Coturnix japonica: one gene and its partners. The protein of the gene in region 2 interacts with the protein of the main gene of each other region in a pairwise test. Links are inferred from orthologs where the notes say so. Each region holds a gene or a part of one and is shown on either strand. Other genes may lie near its edges.

The links. The genes of interacting proteins can lie anywhere in the genome.
Region 1: the proteins of TRAF3IP1 (region 2) and IFT20 interact in a two-hybrid assay, tested with the Homo sapiens proteins (2 studies listed by IntAct). The link is inferred for Coturnix japonica from reciprocal best matches to the Homo sapiens genes TRAF3IP1 and IFT20.
Region 3: the proteins of TRAF3IP1 (region 2) and ABI2 interact in a two-hybrid assay, tested with the Homo sapiens proteins (2 studies listed by BioGRID and IntAct). The link is inferred for Coturnix japonica from reciprocal best matches to the Homo sapiens genes TRAF3IP1 and ABI2.
Region 4: the proteins of TRAF3IP1 (region 2) and SFR1 interact in a two-hybrid assay, tested with the Homo sapiens proteins (2 studies listed by BioGRID and IntAct). The link is inferred for Coturnix japonica from reciprocal best matches to the Homo sapiens genes TRAF3IP1 and SFR1.

Annotation. Positions count from the first base shown.
Region 1 is NC_029534.1:8,041,949-8,049,001, reverse strand, and holds IFT20 (intraflagellar transport protein 20 homolog), read left to right. Parts: upstream 1-3,537; 5' UTR 3,538-3,568; coding exon 3,569-3,695; intron 3,696-3,777; coding exon 3,778-3,863; intron 3,864-4,360; coding exon 4,361-4,464; intron 4,465-4,800; coding exon 4,801-4,882; coding exon of another isoform or gene 4,883-4,892; 3' UTR 4,893-5,247; downstream 5,248-7,053. Other genes in the region: TNFAIP1 (BTB/POZ domain-containing adapter for CUL3-mediated RhoA degradation protein 2), read right to left, coding at 1-55, 1,369-1,585; TMEM97 (sigma intracellular receptor 2), read right to left, coding at 6,721-6,971. UniProt on the Homo sapiens protein: Part of intraflagellar transport (IFT) particles involved in ciliary process assembly. May play a role in the trafficking of ciliary membrane proteins from the Golgi complex to the cilium.
Region 2 is NC_029522.1:3,277,008-3,284,148, forward strand, and holds part of TRAF3IP1 (TRAF3-interacting protein 1), read right to left. Parts: intron 4,768-7,141; coding exon 4,677-4,767; intron 3,715-4,676; coding exon 3,628-3,714; intron 3,094-3,627; coding exon 2,973-3,093; intron 2,825-2,972; coding exon 2,788-2,824; intron 2,186-2,787; coding exon 2,109-2,185; intron 1-2,108.
Region 3 is NC_029522.1:11,988,704-11,996,511, reverse strand, and holds the start of ABI2 (abl interactor 2), read left to right. Parts: upstream 1-3,702; 5' UTR 3,703-3,734; coding exon 3,735-3,851; intron 3,852-7,808. UniProt on the Homo sapiens protein: Regulator of actin cytoskeleton dynamics underlying cell motility and adhesion. Functions as a component of the WAVE complex, which activates actin nucleating machinery Arp2/3 to drive lamellipodia formation.
Region 4 is NC_029521.1:21,226,203-21,233,968, forward strand, and holds SFR1 (swi5-dependent recombination DNA repair protein 1 homolog), read left to right. Parts: upstream 1-3,660; 5' UTR 3,661-3,750; intron 3,751-3,845; exon of another isoform or gene 3,846-3,865; intron 3,866-4,259; 5' UTR 4,260-4,279; coding exon 4,280-4,375; intron 4,376-4,767; coding exon 4,768-5,148; intron 5,149-5,342; coding exon 5,343-5,534; 3' UTR 5,535-6,300; downstream 6,301-7,766. Other genes in the region: CFAP43 (cilia- and flagella-associated protein 43), read right to left, coding at 7,161-7,318. UniProt on the Homo sapiens protein: Component of the SWI5-SFR1 complex, a complex required for double-strand break repair via homologous recombination. Acts as a transcriptional modulator for ESR1.

The DNA of each region.
Region 1 (7,053 bases), on a different chromosome or scaffold from region 2:
AGATAGTTTAAAATGGTTCCAAAGTGCTTCCCACAACGGTCTATAAGGATCCATCCTGAAAAATAATCACCATAACATTTCAGTGAGCTTAACGCTAGGAGGCAAAAAAACCCAACAAACCTCCCCAGTGAGTCAGCTGCTGCCTGAAACTACAAGACATTCTTCTGATTCCATTCAGGGGAAGACTTCACTGACTTTCAACAAATTGGTATTTGTTACAGAACAGAAACTAACAGCGGAACCTCTCCCTTGGCACCTTGTCTGTATTCTCACTACTTTCCAGCACCTCAGAAGAGAAGCCATGAGCTTCCTATCACTTGACATTTAAAAAACTGCAGCAAGAACTTGACTGCACCGTATCTATTGATCAGCCATTGTACCAAAGTTATTTTCTGTGCTTCATCCTTTTTGTATTTTGTTCCAATTAAAGGCATAAACCTTTCTAATTACTACAGGAAGTCACCAGTGCACATCTATTTAATTGACAAATCCAGTGAGGGAAAAATGCTGCTCCAGTATCCAAACAGGAGGAAGGAACAGGACAAGGATGGATCAGGAAGACGAGGAACGGGGGGATCCAGCACAGGAAACAGCAGTAGACAGTTTTTGTGATGCTGAAACTTCCCTGCAGTCACATTCACTGGGAAACAGGATGTCTGACTTGCTGGCAAACAATAGCAAAGGACACACACAGACAGAGGGCTTAATAAAGTGCCCAATCATTGTTCATGAAGTGGAAGGCAGACCAAAAAAAAAAAAAAACCAAAAAAAAAAACCCAAAGTTCTTTATATTTTAGGATCTAGACATATAAGGTAACATAGGAAAGAGGGTTAAACCACTGCCAGATTCTCCAGCTAAAGCTGCCTGAAGACAAATCTCATCCTCCATTCTGGTAGATTGGGGCTCTTACACAGAACTGCTGGGCCAAACAGATTCAGCCTTACGTGACACTCAACAAGATTCAGCCTATCTGAAAATCTTCAACACAGCAATCAAGGCTGTGTTGAGTTTTAAAGCTGAAAACTGACTCTCCCCTCCCTAAAGACATTTTGATTAATGCACTGTAGATATGACAGCCCACATACTGTCCAGTCTTCATAAAAACATCAACGATCTGCCTACCACCTGTGACTGCAGGAAAGAGAACCAGCCCTTCTGCTTGTTAATTTTAATAACAAAAGGACAATTTATATAAAGCACAGGTAGAGCCAATGGGATCTGGCAGCCTGATGTTCCTGGCTCCTTTTGGAATACAGCTTTCTCCACACCCTTCATTGAGCATAGCTTTAATATGCATTAAAAACAAACAAAAAAATACTCCAATAGTTGTTTTACAAGATTCTCAACAACAAAAGACATTTACTTACCTTCCTTATCTGTGAGAACTTCCATTCTGCCACTGAACATGGCCTTCAACATCGTGTCATGCCTGGTCAGGACTTGCACTGTAGTGTAATACAAGGAGCCCCCGACATTTAGTCGCACGTACTTGTTACCGAGGCTGCCGACTTTGAAGCTGCAGGTTTTAGGCTTGGGGCCCACAGCTGGACACAGGGTGGTGGTTAGACACGTGTCCCCCGACATCTCCTTCTGTAGGTAGATGACGACCCTGCAGAGTGTGGGTTTGATGGATTCCGCCGTGATTGGCAACGAGTCACGAGTCACTGGGCGAAGATGGGAAGGCAAAAATGGTCATAGCCACCAGACTCTTGGAATGGAAATGTTTAAGATCAACACAGAAGCCTAGAATTTACACAAAGAAACAAAGCCATGAAGCCCACAACGAAGAGACAAATTCAGTACATTCTTAAGGACACACCTACAAATGTGCTGACAAAACAAAATGCAGGTGTATTTTCAAACAACTTACACAGCAATACAGAAGCTGTTTAACATCACAGTCATATTACGACTTCATTACTGTTAGTGAGGCAAGCTGAACTCCTCTGGGCTTCCTGTTATTCAGTCTTCAGCCAGCATTACAATCAACACACAACACTGCAGCCCAAGGTTAAGTGCTAGATGGGATTCAGATCCCGTTCAACTTCCCGAAATAACTTTTCTGCCTGCAGGAGGGAAACAAATGGAAGAGCTTTGTCCAATTCTTTCATCTGGCGATTACATAAAAAATATTTTAACGTGATATTCTTATAGCAGCTCCAACTTCTTCAAACGACTTGATACTGCAGTGCTGGAACATTACATTCTATTTCCTCGAAACTCCTTTTATTCTACTTCTTTTCCCCCCTTCACTCCTAGAAAAACCAACAGTCGATGTCATGTAGTTTCTATTATTATTGTTTCAGGATGGGTACGCCTAAAAAATGTCTGGTCTTTGGAGTATTTGTCTCAGTTAAAAGCCAGCACAATATTGCTCAGAGGAGCAATTCCCCACCAGTAACCCAGCAACAGCAACTAGCAGCTGCTTATTACAGTTGTGTTCTGTAAGAAGTTAATTGCACAAATAAAGCAGCTCCAGAGAAATCCATGTTGCCAGCAACAAAGTTACTTTTTGTCAACTCTAGGTTATATTGTCATACACCGAAGTAAACCAGAAGCAGCAGCAGCAGCGCACTGTCCTACACCTACAACCTCCAGAGAAAACAGCACCATGGCTCAGGGCTGCAGGTTTGCCCTCGGTGTCCCATCCTGCTTCAGACCACAGGAGCCCTTCCTCCAAAATAAAAGCGTGTTTTTAAGGACAGCCAGAGTCCGTAACGAGCTCTGGGTGTGCACGAAGCTTTCCAGTCTCAGCAGCGGCATCTCTGAACACGTGCACTAGTGAAGGTTTCTGTAGTTGCCGCACCTCCGGCACGTCGCTACGTTTCTGACCAAGAAGGACGAAGCAAAAAAACAACCAAAAAGCAAAATGAGAACCCGCTGCACAGCGTGTCCGGGGAGACAAAACGTCACTGAGGTCCCTGATCATCGATCACGTAGGAGGCTCCTGCGATAAACACAGACTGAACCTTTAATTACCCACATTAACACACGCATAAATGTTGCCCCGTTTCCCTTCCGGCCGGAGCGCAGCACAACAACGGCACCGCCGTCAGGAAGCGGCCCCTGTTCAGCACGGCCACGAAAAGGAGCGGGACTAACGGCGCGAGGGGAGAAAACGAGAAGAGACAAAGGAAAAAAGACGCACAAAGCAGAGAAAGCAACAGGACAAAGCGACAACTGCGCCCCGAGCTGAACCGGCGGGGCCCGGACACGCGCTCCGCCCCGCCCCGCTCTTCCCCTGCCCCGTACCGGCTGCGCGGGCCGCTCCGGCCTGTCCGGGCAGCGCCGACCGGGTGTCGCGGGGCCGTCGGGCGGCGCGTCCGTGGCCTCCGCAACGTCCCCGGCCCGAACGCGGCGGCCACACCGAAGTTCCGCGTCCGCAGCCCCGCCCGCGCGGCCCCACGTCACCGAACCGCCCGGCCCTACAGTCCGCTCACCGCCCGGCCCTACAGTCCGCTCACCGCCCGTGGCCGCCGTCCCCCCCGCTGCAGCCCGTCACTTCCTGCGCGCTGCGCCGCACCCTGCAGCGCTTCCTGTGGCTCCGTGTATCCGAGCGGTGCCGGGATGGCGCAGGAGGCGCTGGGCGCGGCGGGGCTGCACTTCGACGAGCTCAACAAGCTGCGCGTCCTCGACCCCGACGTGGCGCAGCAAACGGCGCAGCTCCGCGAGGAGTGCAAGGCCTTCGTGGACAGTGAGTGCGGGGCGGGGCGGGGGGCGCCGCTTCACTCCGCGCAGCGCTGACAGCCACGAACGCGGGACCGTTTTTCTTTCAGAAATAGCGCAATTCCAGAGCACGGTGGGCGGCCTGATCGAGCTCATGGACCAGTTGGCCAGAGCTGTCGAGAGCGAGAAGATGAAGGTACGGTCCGTTGGGGCTGTCCTTGTAGTCACACCTCCTGGCAGGACGCAGCTCATGGTGGGCTCTGAGGACAGGGCTGTCCAACGATTCACGCAGTAAAAACCTCTGTAACTACCTCAGAAACGTGCACTAATACACGTCACCAAGCGCTCTTTATCTTCTCACTTTATTATGGGGTTGGAGATGAATTTTCAGCACAGCTGTGATTACTTTTCCCTTGTTTGTTCTGTGGGAGAAACTCCTGAGCCTCCTGTTGGTAGCAGCCACCAGGGGGTCAGTTTATTTCACACTGTTAGGAATATCCCAGGTTGGAAGGAAGCCTCAGATGCCTCAACCCGCCCAGCCCCTACAGGGACTGTGTTTGCTCCACAGCCCATCCAGCAGGACGATGCCCCCTTTGCTCTTAGCACGGCTGAAAGACTTTCATCGCGACCTGCTGGTAGTGAAAGGGGTTAAAACTCCTTGTACAGATCCATCACAAACGTCTGTTTTGACAGGCCATCGGTGCACGGAATCTGCTGAAGTCTATAGCAAAGCAAAGGGAAGCACAGGAACAGCAGCTGCGGGCTTTAATAGCTGAGAAAAAGATGCAGCTGGAAAGGTGAGCTTCCTATTAAGTGTTTTTGGGGCATGGACGTAATAGTTGGGAAAGAAAGCTGTGTAGATGTGAGAGAAACAGCCACGTACTGAGAAGGATCATTTCTAATGGCTTTGTGGCTATCCGGATAGAGGTGATGTGAGATCATACAACTGTGGAAATTAATAAAACAGTAAGAGTGGCAGGCAGGTGACTTCTAAAGGCTTTTTAGAACTGTCAAGTCTAATTCATGTGACTGTTGCCTTAAAAAGGACACACACGAAGCCCTGAGCTTCGCTCTCAGACTGGTGAGCACTGCACTAAAATATCAGCTGGTAACCTATTTTCTTTGTCTTTCAGATATCGAATAGAATATGAGAGTCTGTGTAAAATTGAAGCGGATCAGAATGAATTCATTGACCAATTTATTTTTCAGAAATAGAAGACTTTAAGATAAAGACCAGCTTGGAAACACGAGCATTCCAGACTCTTTGACTATTTCAGAAATATGCAATTTTTCACTGTGTGCAAATAAATAAGGATGGTTTGTGCAAATAAAAGTGTTTTTTAATGCAGTGTGAGTTACACTACAAGTGGCAATAAGGAGGGCTTTCTAACAGCTGTAAGACTGTTCTGTCCTTTGATTTTTATAAAGGTTTTATACAGTCAGTAGTTCAGATTCAATCTGTAGTTGAATTAATACTGCTGTTCCTCTGTTAATGTCTCTCTCCCTTTTTGAAATGTACAGCTCTTTCAATGAAATCAGGCAATAAACTTTTGTTTGTCACCTACTTGGACATACCAGAATTAGCTTCTTCTGCTTTGTTACTGGGGAGCTCGTAAGTTTGTGACTCCCTGGATCGTCATCATGAAGGACTTCCCTCATATAGCCATTTTAACACTCCTAGCAGCATAACGTGCAAAAGAGAGAAGCAGTGGTTGGTAACTCCTGCCTGGGAATTCCTAAACTGGTCAGAAAAATTGGTGATTAACAGAACGGGGCAGTTGCACACAAAGAGGAACAGAGAATTAAGATTAAACTGTGTTTGAAGTAACATTGCAGTGGAATACTGCAATTTAACCGTAGGACTTCAGACTGATGAGACAAACAACCCTCAGCGTGTAGTGGCACCAGGAACGCATACAGACCATAGATATGAGCATGGCATTTAAAAACTGAATGTCTGTGACCTAAAATCAAGGCTCTTGTTCAAACAGCAATAGATGCATTTTACACCTGTCTTTAGGCAACCACATAAGAAAACGCTGCCCTTTTCAAAGCTTGTGGGAGGTTTAAGTTACACACCAGTAACGTCCTGAAATAATAAAGCAGTGACTGAAGAAGCCTGCTAGAATTTTACACAAGTCTTCACTGCTCAGTGGCCCAGAATTTCACACAAGTCTTCACATTGTATTCTTACAGATCAAACAGGAAAAAAGGCTACCAGCAGTTGGTTTTATTTTCGATGATTTCCAAGTATAACACAAAGTGTTTTTCTTTATCTAAGCTCTCACAGATTATGTTGGTTTTAGTTCTTCCTTTCAGAAATGAAATGCCATTTGGATGCAGTTATTTATTTCCACGTTAGAAGTTATTTCATGGAAAAGTTTACAAATCCCTGTTTGCAGCTACTGAAGTACTTGAAGAAATCCAGGAGGAGCTGCCAGACAATAAGCATACAGAAGTACAGATGTGGACACATTTATCACTGACCAGGCATTAGCAAGTGATCAGAACTGGAGCAGAGGAAAATAAGGTGAAATTTTAGACGGAAGGAAGAGGAAGGTGAGGATTGTTACATCATCTGAAATGCTTCTAAAGTAGCTGAGAAAAGGAGTTTTGATTTTTGTATGTAATCAGTGAAGGATTGTGCAGAATGTGCTACTGGAACACACTGCAACCTGAAGGCATCTTGGAGAAAGGAAAGTGTAAGGAAAAGCGTGGGCTGCAGCTTCCAGCCTCCATCACCTGGTTATGCATGAAATGGTTGGAAGTTCATTTTCCAAGTACCACACAAAACTGATGATGGGAAGGGAGCTGCTGGGCCCCCTAAAGCTACAAATACCCAGCTGCCACCTGGAACCACCAATACAGGCTTCTGCCAAACCTATTTCTGATGGAAGAGCTGTGAACAAAAGCCAATTCAAACTTTCCTTGCAGGAATCTGACACTTTGGTAATAGGTGTCGCAGCTGACATCGCTGCTTAGTGTTCGTCCCAGAGAACTGGGGTCTGGATCGAAACCAATGGGAAAGTTGTGCTCACATCTTTTACAGCAGACTATTTCCTTTTCCTTTTCTCCACCTGGTTGTACTGGGGGCTGTACAGCATGGTAAAAAGAATCAGAAGTGGTATCAGCAGGTACGGTGCATAGATGGATAACAGGATGAGGCGCTCACGCAGTGTCTGAGGACCCAGATGCTCTGATGTTGAGAAATCGTGGAACAGGATGTGAGCCAGGATAGCAAACAACGTTGTAGCTACATGGGTGGAGTAGATAATTGCAGGAGTCCTTATCCACTTGCAGCCACCTGCGTAGAAGCAGCAAAGAAGCAATATTAAGGCATTTGGAATCAAACTGAATTTGGATAATCACTTGTGGATTAACAAAAC
Region 2 (7,141 bases):
CTGCAGTTTCTCACGTGATGGAAATCAGCAGGTTTTTGTTTTTCCAGAATTAGTTGTCTATTATCAGCGCTGCTAACACAGATCAGTGCTTCAAAAGAAGCAACAAAAGGCAAACAGAGACAGAATGAGTGTGTTTTAGAGACTGAAAATAGGCAGTGGGACTAAACGATGATTGCACAGGGACACAGGGGCTGACATGCATTTAAAACAAAATCTAAGGGGTTAAAAGGGAATTGTTTTATTTAGTGAGCTACATGTATTCAGGGGAGAAAAAAGAAAAAAGAAAAAAGAAAGGGAAAATTGAGTACAAGTCCCAGAGGAAGCTTCCAGAACATGGAACCCATGATGTTTTGTAAATGTTCCCTACTGTTCATTTCTATGCCCAGTGCTCAGTTGACAGGACACGATACAGCACAATATTGCCTGCATTCCCATTATGTACTGGCAGGAAAAAAAGAAAAAGACTGAATTCAACCGCTACTGCCATCCTAAAACTTAGTCTGGAGATTGATGATTGAACAGCACCACCTAGCTATAAAACTAGGAACAGCTTCATCTCGTGTTCTCACAAATACCAGCTCAACACACACAAACTTTAGAGCTACTGCAATATTATCTCTAAACCCTCCCTTTCCCCAAACTGCTCTATAAAGACAGAACTCATTCACTTCAGACACTCATCAAAAATAGCCAAGAGCATTTAAATGATCAGTGTGCAAGCAGTATGAGGTGCATGTTTATAATAAATAGTTCATAATTCAGCAAGTTGAACAAAACTGTAACTACTCAAAATGGGTTATGAGCAGAAAATGAAATCTTTCCCATTTTAAGAATTATTTTTCTTCTTTAATCTCAGCCCATGCAACACACGAGGAATTTTGGTTGGTCAAGCAGGTCTGGATCTCATACAACCCCAAGCCTGAGATAGGAAGATGCTTCCCCATGGGTCTGATTCTACCTCCTTCACTTTCTCCATGTGCTGGGGAAGGAACGAAAAGGCTGGTCTACATGACAGCACAATTCACTGCCGCTACAGCATTTGGGAGTGCCTCTATTTAAGAGATTTGTTGATTTTACCCTCCCAAAAATCACAATCCTAACAAGTTGTGTCATTTTTGCTGCAGATTGCCAGAAGTGATTATGAAAGCATACAAACGCTAGATAAAATCTTTCTTTTATATTTAAAACAGTCTACTGTCTATCATGAGTTTTAGTCCCTTGGGGACTTGTTTCTTCCAGCTGTACACTTTACTCATAACCTATCACAATGTTGTTACTCACTGCCAAGAACTATATTCATTTAAGTAACAGAAGGCCAAGAAGTGGCTAAGGCTTCAAAAGTTTCTCCTGATTTCAGAGAGGTGTTTGAAAGAGTTTTGTTAAAAGCTTAGTGTTCTTCAGGTCTGAATTGCAGCACCTAATAGAAGAGCAGCATACAACACTACATCTATCACTAACACTGAATAAAGGTAAGAAGAGAGGTGCAAGTAGAACTGAAGATTTAAGAGCACTTGCCTCTCCAAAATGCTACGTTTCTTATTCAAAACCTTGCCAAAGGTTCAAAAAAAGTCAATCCAAAATGCTCCACCTTTTGTGCCTCCTTGCAACACGAGCTGTGTAAGGCTAAAAGAGCAAGAGCTGCCACGTTATGGAAGGAATACATGAATATCAGGGTGCTTCAACATCTTGGTTTTGGTTTGTGATCGCTCCTAGAACAGCTCTAGACCTCCCTCCCTCTTATTTCCCTATCCCAGTTTCTGGCTGGAGAAATAAAATCACGTCCTTGTTTCAGTCTAGAAAGCCCAGGTCTGCTAGATTTTACTAAGGTAGCACCTGGTGATATGGTAATACTTACTGTACATGGTTAACTGCACCAGATCCCTATGTTTTATAGGTAATTATAATGACTGATGATCGGTTGATATTACCAGAGGACAATTAAGATTGAAACAATAATTAATTACGTAGCTGCATAAATGCAGTGTGTGCCTTATTGCATCTATGGCAAGGCTGAGATCAAGCAGGCTAAAAAGGACTACTAAATGCTGTATGAAACCACGTTACAATATATAATAACCACAATTTCTTGCAGGCTATTTCCATCTTACTTTTTCTGTCGTCTTAGATGATTTTTGTGATGCTTCATAATCCTTTTTTGTTTCCAGGATTCTTTTCACAAGTCCACCTGGAGAAAATGAGGATATTTCTCAGAACATGATTCTAAACATTCAAGACAATAACATCAAACCCAACATGAACAGTATTCCATTGTATTTCAATTACTGAGATACAAGATACTTTAAATTTATTTTTCCACTGTCTTATCTGCATACACATGCACATGTGTATACACAGATAGCAATCTGCTAATAATTTATTGGTACAGAGAAATAAGCCTCCCTAAATCACATCCAGTGTGGCCACAATGGACTGAAGGCCCTGAATCAGATATCAGAGGTCACAAGTAAGCATAACCATTGCCATGAACCAGACAATCAATTTTCCTAGAAGCTTTTCTCTAACTTGCCTTGACCAGCCAACCCCTTCACTTATCTCAAAGAGACATACAGAAGATACATGTTTGACATCAGCTGTAAATCCCTCTGCTCGGCTATACAAGACTTCATTTGAGAAACATTTGCCGTGTTCTTGCAAAGTTGCAAGGTTCTGCTCCATCAAAAGGTATTTTGCTGCTGTATTCCCCATTGCAAGAGCTTAGTACTTGGTTTAAACTTGTGGCTTTACTCTTATGTATATGCATACAAATACATACAAAAGCAAACATACCATGCTTCTCATCCTCCACCAGATCCACTTCTGGCTCCTAAACATGCAGGGAGAGAGCTTTAGTTGGAAAAACTTGGTATTACTACAATATAAAATTATTCAACAACATGTCCAGCTAGAAGCTACTTAAACAAGCAAGCTACAAAGGCTGAGAAAAGGTTCTATAATTTATAACATTAACAAACCATTTCCAGCTCTGGCATTTCAGGCACGGGCAAGGCTGCCTCCACCACAAACTGGTCATCATCATCATCAGAAGCCTGCTGGTCTATGATCACATTTGAGACTGCCTTAGCACTACCGTTCCTGATAAGAGATGAAACGAACATGAAAACCTATTAAGTTTTTAGGCCCAATCCCATTCAGATCTATCCCCTCACCTCCTTCCATAAAATAAAGCAGCACACCAAATTCCTTCACTGCCATTACTCCTGAATACACTGCTTTAGTGCTTGACACTTATTTGACATCACCTGCAAGACATTTTGGCCATAAATTCAAGGGGCTGTTTCAGCCTTTTTTTGAGCATGAGATACACTACATGCCTTACAGATCTCTTATATTGATAGTTAAGATTAATATTCCAGGCTTACCTGTTTGAAAGTTCCCAGTGACAAAAAAATTAATCAAATTGTATCTATCATTGAACTTCCTTATGTGGCCACTAACTGTAACTTCTAAATAATACACTGGATTTGCAGAAAGGCTTGAGTTTTCCTGCCTGAATCAGTAGGGTGACTCATCCTGATGCTATTCACTGGCACAGGGTGAACACAACATCTTAGAATACTGTGGCGTAAAAGCCAACAGCATCTTTTCTGCATCACCCACACTTCTCACCTTTCTGAAAGCAAAGCCTCCGTGCTTTCTTGGCGTTTCACTACTCGGGGTGGTGCTGGCCTTGCACTGCCAGGACGAGGAATACGTCTGCAAGAAAAAAGACTTTTCACCTACACTGTAAAAGGAAGCATAAAACCAATGGAAACATCCCCAGAGTAGAATCCTATATGGCAATACCTTCTGACCTAGTAGGAGTCTGAGAAAACCTAACAAGTGTGACCTTCAACAAGAATAGTATCATTTTGGGTAAAACCACCTCTTAGTTTGTCTCACTAAAAATAATCTGGATACTGCACAGTTAACTAGCAATAACAGCAAAAGGAAAAAGTATATTTCCATAAGTAATACAATTACAGTAGCTTATTTCTGGGCAAAGAAAAAGTAAACTGGGATTTGAAAGTCAAGTTCATCTTATCCCTAACACCATACTTCTGAAGTGATGCAACAGACTCAGACTCTTCACAGATCACTCTTAATATAATAAGATTACATCAAGGCACTTTTTGGATTAAGAATGCACATCCAAGACATGAAGTTTCCTTCGTAGAAGGAAATGAAAACAAATAAAATGAACCGTACATGGGATAATATTCATTATTGCACGCCACAAGCACAAACTGCTTCACATTCCCTTGCTATTTTCCAATTGACGGTTGTAATGTTATAATGGGATGGAAAGTACTAGGATAATAGCAGGGTGGCAAAGTCTTTGGCTACAGCAAATGAGAACAAGCCCAAGCACAGCAACCACAGAAACAAAAATGAAGGAAAAGAGCTGCTTGCCTTTGAATGGCCTCAAACACACAGGGAACTCCAGCAAAAAACACCCTCATCTCCACTGCCAACCCTTAAATGAGGTCTGGGAAGGGGTGGATCCTGGCTCCAGCCCTTCCAATCACTCAGACACACTGCATGCTCCTGAGCTCCCTTAGGCTGGCCCTGCCTTCCCACCAGGTGCTCAATCACTGCTTCAGCATTTCCACTACAACCATGTGACCTCCAGACACCACTGGTGCTTCACTCAGACAGAATAAAGAACAGGAACCAACCTTTGGATAGCCTGAGGTGGAAGATCATTGGGTGCTTCATCGTTTTCAGATACAGCAGGTTTTTCAGGATCAAGGTTCTCTGCTTCATCTTCTATTCAATAGAAAAAAATGTAATAGTGGCTTACCTGCCACGTAGAAAATGCAAATCTAATTCTTTACAACAGTATTTCAAGCCTTATCAACATTATACTTTAATGTGTTAATGAAATTAATCATATGACAAACTAAGTGCAACTCTACAAGCTTTATATATCCAAGGACTCAGCTGATTTCTTGCTCTCACTGCATCTTGATGTCTACCACACATGTTGCTTACAAGATAGAAAGGAGAATTTCACCCTCACCATTCACCACTGCCCCAGTTATCTGCTGCTGTAGGAAAGGTTTTGTGAATCGCTTTTAACATGAGCTGAACCCACAAATACAAGTAATGGGAGGAAAAAAAAAATGTCATGTGCAGGCATTAAGAAAATGGAAATGGTACGTTTTAAAGTGGTTGTTGCAATAACTACCTGTGACAAGAAGTTCCCCACAGGATCTGCTTCAAGTTAAAAAAAAAAAGAAAAAAGTAGTAATAGTTTATGACCATTTTATGTCCTTAGGTTTCTCTCCCCTTCGGAAAGCACTTAACCTGAATTACAAAGCACTTGCACAGATTGCTTTTTGGTATTCTCTTTACTAACAACGACCTGAATAAGGTCTACTAAGAGCATGCAAACACAACCAAATTGCATTTTGCTACAGTCCTTTTTCTTTCTTAATCTTTAGCATATAGCATAAGTCTAAGAAAAACCCTCACTAAATTGCAGAAGTGCTTTATTTATTAAAAAGCACTGTTTAATTTCTAGTAGAAGATTTAGCTATCCCTGGTTCCTTCACTACAAGGTCACTAGCAAATACATCTGGAAATAGTAAACAAATTGGTTTTTCAGAGATGAATTCCTTAAAAATAGTCTGACCAAATGAGACATGAAAAATACAACCAAGAACCAAGAACTACCAGCAGCTTCTTGCTGAGATCTACTGCCAATGCCAGGAGAGCAGGGACAAACACAAGTGACTGTTTCCAGCAATCCACACTTGAGTGCTAAAGGCATCAGAGTGGAATTTCTCCCAGTTGTGTAAAGTTACACAAATGTATTGGCTACATGTCTATATTTCCTTGGATTAACACAGCTATAAGGCCCTAAAGGCCTCAGGTGGACTGGGAAGCAGCCTTTGATATCTCACTGCAACTACTCTATGATACAAGGTGTCCTGATTGGTATGGTATTGCCATTGGTGCCACTCAACTATCCCACCTCGGAGCAGATCTATGAGTGATATACAATTATTTCAATTGTTCAGTCTTAAACATAACTTGAAATACATTCAAGACATGGCATTAGCAGCATGTTTGTTTGAGCATCCCATGGATAGTCAAAATTTTCAAGAGCTATTGGAACTAGCTGTCAATCTCCAGGGAAAGAAGCAATGCAGCTTCATGAGAAGACTCAACAAGCTCCACAAATAGGGAAACAATCAGCATCATGGCCTGCACTTCTCCAGCTCCCACAAAGCCCTGTGTTATCTTGCTCTGGACAGATGTGCTGTTATCTCAACCCTTGGAGCCTCACATTGGTCACCAGATGGACTGTTGTAATATAACCTGGCAGGTAGCCCAGCACCACACAGTCTCATTCCCCTAAAGTACAACTCATGGGTTGAGATAAAACTATTAAGACTGAGAAAAGGAAAAGGATAATAGTTACTGTGTGTGTGTATATATATATATATATATATATATATACACACACACACATATATATGAATGTATACCACAAATGATGCACAAGCAATTGCTCACAACCCTCAGCAAGCCCACATGCAGGGTAAGAGGGCCAGATGAACTCCCATCCCTTCAAACTCATTCTGCACAATGTCATGTTGTCTGGAATATCCCTTTGGCCAGTTTAAATCAGCTGTCCTAATTATGTTCCCTCCCAGCTCCATGGGCCCTTTGATACAAATGACCTTGGCTCTCTACATGCTTATCTACAAACATCACTGTGTTACTGACACTGTTTTTCTCCTAGAACAAAAACACAGCACCATATCAGGCACTCTTGAAGGAAACTGTCCCAGCTGAAACTAAGACAGTGGTATCAACTGCCCTAACTTGTTTGTGTGTCTGGATGTGAGGAGAATAAAACCACAGACTTTTTGCTTTACTCTCAGCTCTTCCTCTTACATTTGCTCCTCTTATGCCATGTATGCTGTATCTGGATACAAATATCTCAGTAGCAATACATGTTTAGGGAGCCATACACAACTTTTGGGGGTTTTGTTTTGTTTTTAGTGAAGAAATAAGAAGGCAGAGATGGAATTTGCCTCAAAGTTCCTCCAAAACACAAACACTAATTGACACTTCCAAACATCCGCACAAAAAGGGAACAGGTAGTTACACAGAACAAGTCACCAAGGGA
Region 3 (7,808 bases), about 8.7 Mb from region 2:
AGTGATGACCAAGTGTTTTCTGGTACAGGGTTGGTCAGTGGTGATCACCTGTGTTGCCTGCCTTTCAGGTTTTCCAGACATAATCATATGTTAAAGCCCTTACTGGACTATTCTTCTCAACTATGTTCATAGATAACTGTAATATTCAGTCCTTTGTTGTACATGCATTCAGAAATGTCACTTGCAATAAGCATCATCCACAACCTGTCCCTTAGAGAGAAAGAAAGAGAGAGATACAAGCCTCTTGCTTGGCCCCATCCATTGTATCACATCCATGTTCTTCATTGCCTGGGAACTGTTGTTCTTACTTCTGTTCAGCAGAACAAATCAGGGTGCTGACCTTGTGACTCTGACTAGTTTGTAACAGGAGGGGGACAGCTTAGACTGTAGCTCTTTACTGCTGAAAGCTCACTCATGATTCAGAGATGTCATAGATTTTGAGATAAATGAATTATTTACGCTTCCCCTCAGAGAAGACAACATGGGAATGCCTGCCTGCCTGCCTTCTACCTGTAAATGCTCTGTCAAACCAATTCTAGGCTGAGGTGGGGGAAGCTGATGGGGAGCCATTGTTCTCCATCTCCTATTAATACTGCATCCCTGAGATGTGTGTTGTTACCATACAGTTAAAGGCAGCTGTGGGTTCATCAAGGGCTGGAATGCTCCCAGGTGCTATCTGGGGGCGAGGGCAGAAAGGAGAAGGGTGGAGCTGCAGACTGATGGCAAACAGAAGCTGTGTAAAGAGGAGCTGCCTTTGCAGCTAGTGAGAGTGCTTCACCAGAAGTGCGATGGAAACAGGACGGATGGTTTCACAGATGTGATTTATTATCCTTCCCATGCAAAGCAGTTATGCTAATTTCAGAAACAACACACAGTTATTTGTTGGCTCCTATGAATATAAAAAACCCTACAAACTTTTTAAAGTGGTTTATGTGATTAAAACATGATTACAAACAGGACAGGATCAAAAAAGCTCCAGGGACCAAGTTCCCAGAGTTATGTGAGTACCTAAGAATCTGAACTTTAATTAAAACCAGGAAGAAACTGAAACCTCGGAGAATGTTTCTAACCATTGTAGCTGCAAAGGAAACTTGCAAATATGAGGAGAGCATAAGTAGGCCAGTGATGTGTCTGTAGCAGGCCTGAAACAATAGCTGAGAAAGGGTGATTTTCCCATGCGCTGCAGTGGAGCATTAACTCTGTAATCAGCCCTTTAGGGTCTGTCTTCTCAGTAGTTATGTCACATGGACCTGGGAGATGCCACTGGGGGTCAGGATGGAAAGGGACTGAAAATTGGGTTGGTATCTTTGAGAAGGAAAACTGGCAGAAAAGAAAAACAAATTGGCACATTTTTTAACTTCCCCCTCCTTCTCTGAATGCTTTGTTCTTTGAACCTCGGAAGGGAACCTGATGATCAGCTGTGCTTTGTGCTGGTTTGTCTTTGAGACCATTTGTTGCCTGTGTTCTTTTAAAGCTGAAATGTTAGGAAGAGATCATTATTTTTCCTCTTTAACTTGACCTCTCCCTCCCTTAGAGAGATTCTCCGCATGTACTGGCTCCATCCTTCTCACACAATGCTATGCTGAAATAACGTTCAAGAGAGAACTTGAATTCCTAGAAAAAAAAGGCTTGATATTTAGAATGAGACACGGCCGAGAACAGAAAGACGGAATGTCTGCAGTGTGTCCTGTGCCTCTCCGGAGGTGCTGTGAGGTGATGGATGTCAGTCATGCACTGCCTCTGCCTGTTTCTGAACTAGTGGTGTTAGTGCAAGCACTTCCATGAGATGTGAACTACCCCACAGGTAACTTGTGTCCTGTGTACAGTCGGTATTTTACCCAGCAGCAGTTTATCATGAGCAGAAAGATTATCTGTGGTTACGATCTTGATTGCCCAGCAAATTGGTGAATGCCTGCGGAAGCAGGAGGAGAATGTGCAGCTGCAGAGTGTGTGGGTTCTTCACTGTTTCACAGCAGGGGCTGGCGGCTGAGTGCCCAAGATGCCACAGGATCCTGACAGCGTTTGTTGTGGGCACTGGATGTGTATGAGCCTCATTCTGTAGCAGGCCATCCTGAGATTGTGGCAGAGCCTCGAGTGTTAAATGTGCTGCTGTTCCCTTTGGGTGCTTTGCATTATGAGGCTAGCAAAGGTCTGCATCCAGCCAGAGGCAGATCAACGCTATCTAAACAGACCAGGATGGCACAACTCTGTCTTTGTTGAGGGAGCAAAAGTATATATTTCAGCTACAGATAATTTTTTTTCATTCCCCCATTTTTTCCTCTTTCCCCATTCCTGCAGTAAATGCTACCTGCCAGCTTTAGGGCATGGGCCTGTTTGTATTATGGTCAGTTCACATGCCCATGTTTGCTGTCAAAGTGCTTTGCCCATTGTGCAGACGCAGATCTGCTTGGCTCAATGTGATACAGTGGGGGTTTTGTTTCTGCTGTATACAAAACATGGAATTTGGGTTGTTTTTTGTTTTTTGTTTTTTTTGTGAGGGAAAAAATGTTCAGAAATGAGAATGTCATAAAGCCAGAACAGAGATCCTTACACAAATTAAGTGAAAACCTGCAGCATGGTGTGTCAGAGATCCAACCAGGTCATCTGTCCAAATGGGATCAGGGATTGTGCCGTTCTGTCTTCCATATAGCAAAGAAAACAGAAGAGGCTTTTGATTGCAATGCCTACCCATGGTGCCAAAAACAGTGGCCTCCAAGCTACCCCGTTATTACTTTTCTCTAATTAAGAATTGGTAATTCAGACTGTGGTATGTAGGACACACAGAGTGCCCAGCTACGAGATTGCACGTGACCAAATGATTTGCTTGTCTGGGCGTTTTTGTGCGCAGGGACTCCCTTGGGTAATGGGCAGAGGTAAAAATCTGATGCGTGTGAGGGAACTTGGAGTAAGCGACATGCTTACCTTGCTTGTTCCTAGGGATATTGTTTTCTCAGTATATTTAGGTGGGAAATACATTTGCTTCCCAGTCTTGAAGCTGTTGTACCAAGGGAAGGTACTGCACAAAAGAAAGAAGGAGAAGTTAATGTGTGGAATGCTGTAACTGGGGCTCAGAGAGCATAAGGACTTAAAATTAGTTTAGCACATCGCTTGGCAGATGGGGAGTCGATTATGTAAATGTAGGAAAGTGGTAGTTGGATTCACTTGGTCTAATTTAAACACTGCTTCTAATCATTTTCAGCACGCGTACAGAGAATTATAGGATAACCATCACTCTGCCAGGAGGGCTCTTCATCTTTAAATTTAAATCCATGAAAGAGTCCCCTATTAAAACATAAACATGCTGTGATAACAAGCAGCTAATGATGCAGGCAGGTTAGTCCAGCTGGTCAGCTGCGCACACACATAGTAAAGACGAGGCCTTTTCTCATATGCTCCAAGTCACTGGAAGGGGCCACTGCAGGGTCAGGGGGTCGCTCCGGCTCCTGCTCCAGCTCCGGCTCCATTCATGTCCCGCAGCCCCGTCCCAGCTCCTCCGTGCCGGCAGTGGGCGCACGGGGCCATGATTAGGGCTGCTGGGACATGCGCAGGAGGAGCCGCCGGCCGCGCCCCGCCCCCGGTGCGGTGGGGGTCCGGCGCGCTCCTGCCCGCGGCGCGAGGCCGGGCCTGGCGGCGGGGAGCGGAGAGAGGGAGCGGAGCGGAGGGAGGACGGGAGGGAGGTGCAGGAGGGAGGACGGGCAGACGAGCGGACGGTCGTGGGGTGAGAGGATGTGAAGATGGCGGAGCTGCAGATGCTGCTGGAGGAGGAGATCCCCGGGGGGCGCCGGGCCCTGTTCGACAGCTACACGAACCTGGAGCGGGTGGCCGAGTACTGCGAGACCAACTACATCCAGGTGCGGCGGGGCGGGGCCCGACGGCCGAGCATAGCGGTCGGCCCTGGCGGTCGCCGTCCGCGTGGCGCGGTGCTGAGCGGCGGCAGCGGCGCTTCCTCCCCCGCTCCGCGTTGCGCCGGGCCCGGGCCGCATCGTGCTCCTCGGTGAGGCGGAACAAAAACAGGACGGCAGCATCAGTAACGGCCGCGGGTCGTTCCGCCGTGGTGTCGGTGCTGAGTGCAGTGAGAGGGCTCCCGGAGCTTGTGCCTTCCGTCCCCGAGAGCGCTTGTGTGATGGCAGGGGGAGCGGGCCGTGCCCGGGTGGGCGACACGAGGGGGAAGCATTGGGGGTGCGCTGTGTGGGATGCTGAGCGACCAGCCGACCTCTAGTGGGAAATGTCTGCGGATCTGGGGTCATTTACCGAACAGCGATGCGATTAATAAGGTTTCATACGCTGAATTAGCGTGACTTATGTTCTTTAAGAGAAACGCGCTGAAGTATTTTGTTGTAGTCATAAACTGACATTAATGTTTGTGCTGTTTTAAAAAGAAGGAAATGGGGCTTTTTCTGGAAGAGGAGCTGTGAATGGCAGAACCGGATAGGAAGAGGTGCATTTAGCTTGTTGTTTTGCTCTCCCCACGACCTTTTACTGTTCTCTTCTTGTAAACCAAGGATTATAAAATCTGTATTGAACAGCTCCACTTTTATTGTTTCAGTAAAAATTGCAGAGCAAGATTCTGTGATATTTCATGCAGAGAATGGAAAGAGGGGGGTCTTCCCATAGCTGGCATATAAAGGCAGCCTGAGCCGAGGGCAGCCAGCTGGTGAGGGAAAGCAGGGAGTGAGGCTGGGTTGGTCAGCCCACCGGGTTCTGGCCGCTGTGCAGCACACCGCAGTTGTTGGCAATTTGTCCAAGCATCGCGGCAACACAGGGATGTAAGAGGGAGGTGAGAACAGAAGGCAGAAATTGTGTTGTGGTGCTGACTGTGAGGTGCAGTATGGGATCACTGACTGGAAAAATAAAGATGTGAAACAAGTGGGGAGCGGAGGACCATAGCTAGGTGATGATGGTAGGCTTAGGCTATTGGGGTTGGCAGAGAGACTGCAAGGTGACGTTGCAGAGGAGTCCAACTTGAGGAGATGCTGGATTGAGTGACGTGAGTGTCCTTGTAACAAATCTGATGGAGAACTCACCCTACGTTCTCCGTGCCAGAACTGCATAAACTCTTCATTGGGATAAATACCCAAAGCTATTTTGTTTGTCTTCCTTCTGCAAGGAAGGGAAATGGATACAACTAACATCACTGGGGATTTTGTTTCCAATAATAGTAATTCCAAAAATCAATATACCCAATTCAGTCTAAATTACATATTTTATGCAAGCTTGGATTTGGTGGAGATGTGCACGTTGGGAATGCGTGTGAGAATCATCTTCCAGAAAGTCAGAAAATCTTCCAGAAGATCGACTAGTTCTACTGTAATCTTTTAATGTTCCGTTGCTGACAGAAGGGTTTATCATGGATATTCTTGAGGTCTCCTGACAGGGACTCAGTGTATGACTGAGATCTGAGTTTGATCTACTGAATGATAGGCAGCACAGCAATCAGTGCTTGCAGGAATGACACTGGCATGTATTTGTCAGTAGACAAGCTCAATTGGTGCTGAGAGGTTATTTTATTGTCAGGTACATAAATTGTTGCAAAAAGCAGAGGCGTTGGTCAGTTTTTTAAAGAATTTGAAGTTCAGTGCTATAAGATGAATGTGTTCTATCTCTGCCTCCATTGACAGTTACATAGCAGCTGGAGAATAATGGAACAGTAATCTCTTACATGTTGGGACTGACAGGTCAGAGTCAGAGAGCTGTGGTGTTTGCAACTCATTTGGATTCTACTTATGAAGTGAAAAGCATTCCTTGAATGTTGGTGGTTCATTATACAAATTGTTCTTGATACTTGCAGAGCTCAGTTACTTCAGCAACAGAGAATGTTAAATGAATTGTTAAGGTTCTCTGAAGTCTGTATTATAGCAGCATATCAGAGCACATCAGCTTAAAATTTTGTGACAAGTCACTGGGAAATATTGGAAATATGTAGTAAAATAGAACTGCAGCAATGAAAGATGAAAAGCTACTGCTTGGATATTGCAAGAAGAAACATGTAAAGAACGATTTTCACCTGCATAGTACGACAGTTCAGCTCCTTCTCTGTGATTATTTCACTTTATATAAGAATATTAGTATGTATTTTTGGAAAGTTTTAAGTGTAAGTGCACAAGTAAGACAGTTTGATCAGCTTCTGTTACTGCCAATATCAAATAACTTTGCTTTCCAGGTAGCTCTTCTCAGTACCGTAGAAAACATAGTTACTTCTCTGTTGTACTTCCCGAAGAGGGGGCTAATACAGGCTGTTATTTAGGAGGAGATTTTTGTGGGATTTGATACAATGTTAATCAGAAGTTAAATTGTATACTGTTTCTGCAGGCCTTTGTGTACTAGTGCTGCATTCTGATACCAAGTTCTCAGTCTAAACTGCAACAAAGTAGTTCTATAAAATCTGATTGCTTCATTTACTTGTTACTGTATAAAAACATATTTAGGTCTGCATTGATCTCCATGAAAAGCAAGAGTTACTTAATTGGACAGTGCGCTGTATTTACTAGATTTTCATATTCCAGCATTATTTTTGATCAGGAATGTGATAAAGAAAGTTTCTGGTTATGATGATATAAATGACGAACACCCTTTTGAGCACTGGTGTGACTTGCTTGTTTTATTACTGGTACACCACTGTAAGTTCCAGCGCTGCATTGGCCTTTTCACTTTCTTTAAGCTTGTTCTGAACAAGTCTGTCTGGGGCTCATCTCTAACTTGCTTCCAAACAATTGGAACTTTTAAAAACGAAATCATTTTTTTACTTAATGCATTGCATATAGAACTTTCAAGAGTAATTGAATGCTTGTGTCTGAACTCACTGTTTTGAAAGAGTCAGAAAGAATTCCTAGATAGACATTTTCAGCCACTGGATATCTAGCAGGACCAGACTCAGGGTGGGGGCAAGGCCAGAGAGCAATGCAGCATGCAGAGCTGGGTGAAAAGCCACGGCCCTGTGCCCTGTCCAGCCTCCAGAAGGTGAGTGTGCTGTGTTTGCCAGATTCTTCAAGCAGGATCTGGATTTCTTAGTCTTTCTAGACTATTATGCTTTGTTGTGTGGAGAGGAAGAGCGAACTTCCCATTTCCATCACTTTGCAGCCTTCAGGTTGCTATGGGTATTGAGTCTCATACATAGAAATAAGCTTCCCATATTTCTAAGGGAAAGGCAGGGAAGAATATATATATTTTTTCCTTTTCTGAAAGTATTCCATCCTTCTAGGTACTAGAAGTACCTGCTTTCAGACCCTGCAATAGCTTTTTTTAAATAAACATAATGGTGAGAATTACCTGTTTCTCAGTAATTTTATTATAGCCCATGGGTTGATCAGTTTCTTAGTTGCTTTCCGCATGCCTGTTAATTTTACTTTGTCCTGTTAAGCCAAACCAAGTCATTGTACTTCTGACAGCATCTTCCAATGAGGTGAAGAAGAGAGTGGAACATCCATTGGCATAGAAATTGCAATTTCTGTAATTATGACAGCTTGAGTCCTACAACAGGAAACTTCTGCTTCTGCGAACTGTCAATTTCTTATATACTTATTTAAATTCCAGAATTATTTTTGCTCTCTTGAGATGCATATCACCTTAACAAAATGTAACTATGCTGAAAGTATTAAAAATATAACAGAGGAGCGCTGTTGGTGTCTCAGATTTGAATTCTCTTAAATGAAATAATGAGGCAGTGGTTAGGCACATACTGTACCTTCCTGAGTTGCAGAAACTTCTACAGCACCTCCCTCTGCTAAAGGCGAATGGAGCACTTGCTGGTAGGTTGGCGAGTTTTGTGGGGTAATCAAAGCATGGGATCAATCCTCTGAGTTTTCTTCTGA
Region 4 (7,766 bases), on a different chromosome or scaffold from region 2:
TAGTTTAACTACTGCAATGGCAGGCAGTAGAATAAGTGAGAGACATTATGAGCTTCCAAATTCTGCCTTCACTTTGCTTCAGCCAAGCTCCCAATGACTCTGCTCAGACAAACACCAAGGAGTTTACTTTTCCCCAATAACAGCTGAGCAAGTTGCAAGAACCTCTGTTACTTGAAAACACGGGACATTAGGACACCAAGACCAAGCCAGATTTCACCCACAATTTCTACAAGAACTTCTTCACTCCAATCTCATTCTAGAAGTTGAAAGTGACTTTTTACACCAGGATACAAGCAAGCCCAATTTAACAACTGCCTTGAGTGAGCACTGCAGGGCAGACAGATGCATTTTCCTTAAGAAAAACAACACCTAATACCTTTAACATGAAAATATGGTTAGACCATCACGCATGACAAAAGACTGTACCAGGTACTAGTCTGGGCACGGGTTTAGATTTAAAAGGCTTAAATTTACTTAAAATAATGATCATTCGGTTCCCCACCAAAGACAAAAAGACTGAAGGTCTGTTTATTGTTTCCTTTCGCTGCCTGCTCGTCTCATAAAGACTTCAAACATTGTAATTTTTGGCATGACTATGTCAGAGAAAATCCCACAAGCAGACACAAAAATAAAAGGCGTTCTTATGTCGTTCCCTTTTATTAGCTCCGTGCCTCACCCACTCGGTTATTCTCACATGCAGCAGCAAGAACTAGGAAGACCATCTCAGCTGGCTCTTACATTATTATCATTTGTACTGGCAAATTGCAGTACATCTCAGCTGCAATAAATTAATTCAGTTTTCCTTTTCAAGACAGGTACCTTGAAAACTGAAGGAAAAAAGGGGCTGCCCAAGCAAGCACCAAAATGCACAGCAGAAAGAGCAGCACAATTCTACTCTTGCTTTAGCTTTATGCTGATGTCATTCTAGGGACACCAGTGTAACTACTGGACATTCGCACCATTACAAACACAGAATCTGTGTCTCGAGGTCAAATTCTGTTGTAGTCTAAACTGGTTTTACTCTGGGAATCTACGCAGCCATTCCTTTAAAATATTTACACAGCTATAAACAAGTCAGAACATTGTTGAGGAATGAATTGCAGCCAGTAAAAACACAGCCCAAGGCTTGTGCTGAAGTGGGTAGGAACTGAAACATTTCTGCAGCAGTTGGTGGTTGGATGCTCAAAAACACTCCACCCTGCTGCCCCAAGCAAGAGAAAACATGCAGACAGCGCAGAGTACTTCATGCGTCAGGATACATCATTTGGCTTTAAGCAAGATCAATAGATTTCAAAAACTAAGAAATGGGGACAATGCAAGTGCCTCGAGACTTTGTATGTTGACTAACATCTCAATTACTCATTGGCAATGCTTAGGGGAAAAAAAAGGCCCAGCTCTTGTGCCCAACAAGCTGTTAAATGGAAGTTCTGGCACTCTGAAAACATTCCTAGTGCCTTGGAAGAGAAGAATCTGTAAAGGTCAACCCCTCAGTTGGTATCTTTTATTGTTACCCTCCACTTTGGATGTGCTACAACAGATAATGCCATGGGGGACTGTAACGTGTTCTTGTCATGTCAGCACTGATGTTTAAGCCCTACTGCTTCTCCAGAAATGTAAGGTTAATGAAAGAGACCTTAAAAAGAGAACATCCTTCACTTGTGCTGGTGAGTCGTCTGCCATTCAACCGGTGTAAACTTGAAAAAGCCCAATCAAGAAAGCCTCATCACTAGAAAACCAAATAAAGGAAAACTAAGAAGCTTTCATAGAGGTCCTTCATGGAACCAAGTTTTTGTGAAGGGCAGCAGTATGCTCAGCAAATACATCTCACTTCTGTTTGCCATTGCTAAGATGTGGATAACACAATATCAAACACTACAGCATTTCTGCAATATAAGTTCTGGACAGTGACTCGACTCCAGCTCCCAGCTCAGTCACAGGCCTCCTGCCCAATCCTCAACCAGTCACATGCTTTTGCAGGACTGCTCACACATGTAAGCACAAAGTAAACTCCTACACACACCTGGTACACGCAGCTGAACACTTAACACTAACTCGAAGCAGAACCTCCTCCTAGACTGAATACCCATCAGTGAACACTAAGAATAACATTTCCTTTTCTCTCCTCCGTGCATTAAATTTAACACATGAACCTTACATGTGGAGCCATCCTTCTATACCCACAGTCTCCACCTCACTGGAATCCTCACCTGGGGTGGGGCACACGGGCGTTGCTCTAATAAGGCAGCAATGATAATGATAATGCACAGGATGACTTTTTCATGCGTTATGTTCTTGTAAAATCTTACTGGAATCTCAGCTGGCAAATGATCTAAAATCTTAAGCTTTCTGTTGTTCTTGTGCAACTCAACTGTTAGCGTGTCTGTACAACAGAGCATGAGTAATTTAAAGCTGGGACCATCCCTGAGACAGAAGGAAACATGTTGTGAAGTTGGGGACGTGTTTTCTCAAAGCTCCAGTGCATTTGAAATCCATCTGAACTGATCCATTCGCAGAAGAAGTTCCTTAAGCAATCTCACTGTTTTACTTGAAAAGTCCTCCCCTGCCCCCTTTCTTTCTTTTTTTTAATACATACTTTAAAATATAAACACATGACATGAATTCAGCCATAATAGACCATCAAAAGTGCCAGGTCACACTAGGGTTTAAAAATGCCTCACACCACAGTTGCCTCAAGCAACAGGGGAGATTGTATTGTATTTTTGCTGCACAGTTACAACTGATCATATGGTTTAAACACACAACCTAACGTCAAACTAACGCTAATACTTCACACGGCTAAACATTTGTCTCACACACAAACAACCTCATAGCATTCCAGTCTCCCGGCCCAACTTACAATAGGGTTGTGAATGCTTTGATATCTTTACTGTTGATGTTATGAGAGAAAAAGGTTTTACCGGCACTGTGAAATTCTATGAGAAATAAATAAGCATACCTAGGGTCAAACTGCTAATGTTACCTACAATGAGCTTACTCACCTCAATGCAATACTGCATCTTACTGTAATCTGGCATCAAATTCCTGTCATTCTGCTACAGAAATTAGGGACATGATCTACAAAGTCTGTGCAGGTGTGTCTGCTCCACGTGCAGCCAATGCAGCAGGAAGGACTGATACAGCATGTGGTAGTAATCATCATTACAGCCATTTTTTTTATCATTTTCTCAGTCCTAGCACAGCTATACTAAATAAAAACAAACAAATCTTATGTAGATCAGTAGTGGGATTAAAGTCTGTGGGGAAACATACAGCTTTTCCCTTTTTATGAGGAGACAGCATCTGATGCAGAAGGTGCTTTGCTGGAGGTAGAAAAGGTGTTTTGTTGGAGGCAGAGCTGTGTCTCCCTTGGCAGTGCTGAAGTACCAGGCCCCACTTCATCCTACAACCTGCACCATGGAGCACACCATGTTGATTTCGGGTCCTCTCCCTGAGGTAGGAGTACGCACAGCAAGATGGCGGCCAGCTCAAGCAAGGCCTCAGCCAGAAGGCAGCTTGCCAATGCTGGCATAGAAGGTGCAACAAGCTAATCTGCAGCAGAAGCGTGTATGGGATCCACATAAATATCCTGCACTGGGTATTCCACAAATCCGGCTCTACAACAAGAGCACCCAGCATCAGCCCGGCTGATCACAACACCACCTTAAAAGCCTCACTAACCCGCCCCGCCCACTGGCCCGGAAGCGGGAAATTGAAGCGCAGGCGGCGGGTCGTTGGGGCGGCTGAGGGGTTGTGAGTGTTGTTTTGCTTGTTGTGGGGCGCATCGATGGGTGGTTCCGGCGGGTTGCTCTTCTATTCGGGCCGCTGCACCCCCGCCTTAATCCTGTTTCTCTATGGGGGGTGGAAGGTCTCTCGGGGAAAGCAGCTGGGGGCTGTTAGTGGGAGGGCAGGCACGCAGCGCCAGGGGCCGGTCTGGCGTACTACACAGTACTAAACACAGTACTGAGGAGCCCGATTACTCGCAGGGTTTATAAAGGGGCTTCTGTTTTGAGGTTAAGAAAATACAGTTTCTTTGGACTAAGGGTTTTTTGATGAGTTTGATGTTGTGGGATCTGACCTTTGATTTACAGGCATGTTAGTCCAAGTGGTTCATAAGTTCTCTTGCTCCCCTGTTACAATTTGTAACCATTAGAAAATAAAGCCTAGTATTTCTTACTAGAGCTTTTTACTCATTCCTGCAGCCATGCGGCTCAATATAATCAGGTTAGAACAGCAACACACAATTTGTTGTTTTTCAACAGGAACTACTATCTGCCTTGAGATGGAGGAAGCAGCGTGTGATAAACTGACATCTTTATGCCATACACCAAAGGCTTCTGGGACAGCAGCTCCACAGAGGACTAGTTCAGGAAAACAGGTATAAAAACTTACAAGTCCTTGTTTTCTTCGTTCCCATATATGTAAAGTGACCTCCTGTGACTTGTATTTGAAAACGGTACACTCTGCTTTGGTGTTTCTCCTCCCATGCATTATAGCGATGCACTCAAACTTGCCATAGCGTGTATCATTAAAAACTGGAGCTATGCTGGATAAGGCTTGGTTGCAAATGTCCCTTAACTGTCCTGTGCTTTAGGATTCTTCCATGGATTTTCCTTTCCACCTGAAAGGAAGATTGCAAAAGGCAGTGACAATTCAGAAGTCTGTTTTACAGTTGTCATTACTTAGGACATGTTCTGCATGGATGAAAAGTTCTTTGAAATTTGATCAAAGACAAGCGGTTGATTTTTCTTTGTTCTTCATTTTCTTTAGCCAATGAGTGCAACTCTAAAGGAACGATTAAGGAAAACAAGACGTTCGTTTAATGCTAATTTATCAGCGGCAAAGCAGCTCAAGGTAGACACTGAAGAAAAAGACTGTGCAGATGTTGACAGTCAGTGTCCGCCAAAGATAAACATGGATTGTTCCACATCACAAGATAGTTCTGGATGCCTGGAAAGAAACTGCACTGGAAATACTTATTTCAGAAATCCATTACAGGAAAACAATCTCTGTGAATCAGCAGAGAATGTGGTAGGGGTTGATCTTAGTCAGCAGCAGTCCATAGAAGAAAAAGTAAGGCTGATGAAACAAGTGCAAGAGAAGGAAGAACTACTTCGAAGGCTCAAACTGGTCAAGATGTACCGATCTAAGGTAAGGACAACCTCTAGAAAGCACTTCAACATCACTCTTTGAAGTGAAATTGAGTGGTGTTTGTATATTAGCTCAGTTTAAAGCATTTAATTTAAATAGTTCTGCGGGGTACTAAAATCATTTTTCATTTGCAGAAATGTTGCTGTTCTTTCTTCCTATTGTTTTTGTTTTTTTTTTTTAAATCCCAATTCCAGAACAACCTGTCTGACCTGCAGGCTCTGATAGTGAAGTGGAGAAGCAGTACCCAGCTGATGCTGTATGAGCTGCAGTCGGCCTTTTCTGCAGATGGCAAGAAAGTGAGTCTCAGTCAGCTGATAGATACTTTTGGATTGGAAGATCACTTATTGCACTACAGCAGAACAGAAGAAGATTTCGTAGACACATAATCTACTGGTGCAAAGCTTTCAGTTACACGCGTGCATAAACAAAAAAGACTGAATGAACTGATAAACTAACAAGTGTTGATCAGACAATGAACTTTGTTTTGGTAAGGGGTTTTCTCATGGTAAAACTTGGTATTTAGATATGGTAGGCACTGTAAAAACCATTACTTTATAGTAAAAACTGAACTTATGCAGATGGTTCTGGAAAACTGGCTAGAGAGGCAGGTCAGTGAATTACTTAAAGTGAAATGAAATCAAGTAATACTTTAACAGGTAGAAGGCAGACAGTTGTTTGATTAGTCTTTGTGGTTTTAAGGCAGAGTGTAAGTTCAAATCAGTTTTCATTTCTGTTGATGGTCATATGGGGAGAGGGTTCAGTTCTTTGTTTGTCTTCCACATTTGTTCCTGCTGCCTGTCAGTTAATGACAGCATTTTGCAAGTCAGGTAAAGATAACTTAATTTTCATGTTAATATTCTGGAACTGCAATTAGATGTTCTTAATGGCTTTAATAATTGCTAAAGGAAATATGCCATAATGGCACTGATCCTTGTCCAGACAGTCATTTCTAGGGGAACTCCCACAGCTTTTGGTAATGGAAAGGAGAGCAAGAAAATTGCAACTGCTGTCTGTCTACTGTACTAACTCATTTAAGAGCTGAGACATTCTCTCTGAGGTTCTTCAATTACAGCATCATTTACCTTTCTGCAGTAACACTAAATAAAACTTCAGCATTTCATTTATTCTCCAATAAACGTTGTCTTTTCAAAATGTTTTATTATTTCAACCCAAAATTGCTTACTTTCTCACTTCTGTGCATATATTGTGGTGACTTGCCTGCTTTTATTTTCCTTGTCTTACCCACTGTAACAGTGTATAGGACTGTACTACCCTGCTTCCTGCTGTAAATATATATTTTTTTAATGCAACCCCACTCCTTATTTGCTGTAGCTTAACTGTTTTGTTTATATGTGCCAATTACTCATTAATAAGGATGTAATTTTGTACTTACCCCAAGGGAAGTGAAAAGCAAGTCACAGATGAAGTAGTTTACTTTAATGTTTTTAGGGATCATTAAATTAAAGTTTGCAGCCACAGTTTACTTTTAGGAATACTGAGTAGCACTGCCACTGCCAACAACCTTTATTACTGATCACATTTTGGGTATTAATAACTATTTCTTCTGCCTCTTTCATTCAATCCATTCAAAACTCCATTTTATGGGAGTTTATAAAAGGTAGAGGAAAATCTGACATGAAGCATGGAATGGGGAGGTGGTAATTTGCAGATGCAAATTTACTGCTTTCTTTCAGTACTTCACAATATCCTACAACCACATACTAAGGAAATAGAACAGGTGTATTTCTATCATTCTACAAGTTAATCTTTCACTTATTTCCTGAAATAAGCTATATGGCTTGTATAATCAAAAGAGCAGAAATGCAAAAGAAAAAACAGTGTAGGTAAGCTGAGGTACAAAACGTATGAAACAGATGTATCTTTCAATGTGATGTTATTTTAGAAGAAATAGAAGAACAGCAGTAGATGTTAACAGAAGAAAATGTTTTTCTGAAAGACAAGTCCAGAGAGAAAAGGTGCATGTCCAAATTCATCTACCAGGATTGGGAATTTTAAAGAATAGGGAATGTTTTTGATCTTAATCTTTCAGCTTTTGCTTGAAGAATTTCAACGTGTTCTTCCTGTTTTCCTATGAGACTTCGTAGATGTTTCTGCTTCAGAATCTCCTGGTAACGCCGCTTTGCAATCCTTTCATTAATATGCTGCATGTCTGCATAAAAAAATATATGAGTCAGACTGGACATAGGAGGGGATACATAGTCTATAAATATATTGGACTCACTTTGGTTTCGTTCCAGTTTCTTATAAAATAAGCACATATTTTTCCAAAAGGCTCACAGTTGGGTTTGAGGGTCTTCATAATATTGCTTAAAGCAAAAAATGTTTAAAAGGTACTGGGTGCAGTTCCTTTATTTTTTCACAAATACCCAATGCTGTGAAACTAACGATATGACCATTGGAAAGAACTATACAGCTTTCCTAACAAGGGATATCTGTCTTAGCTTCTCGTTCATCTGTTCCCTTGAGCGTGGAAAGAAGCGTGTTGTACAGTCTTACAAATAAAGGTCTGTTGTATAATGCAGATATTAATGGCTATAATATTTTGACTTTCAGTAATTAGATCAACTTCAGTTACACGAATACCAAACTGTAGGAAT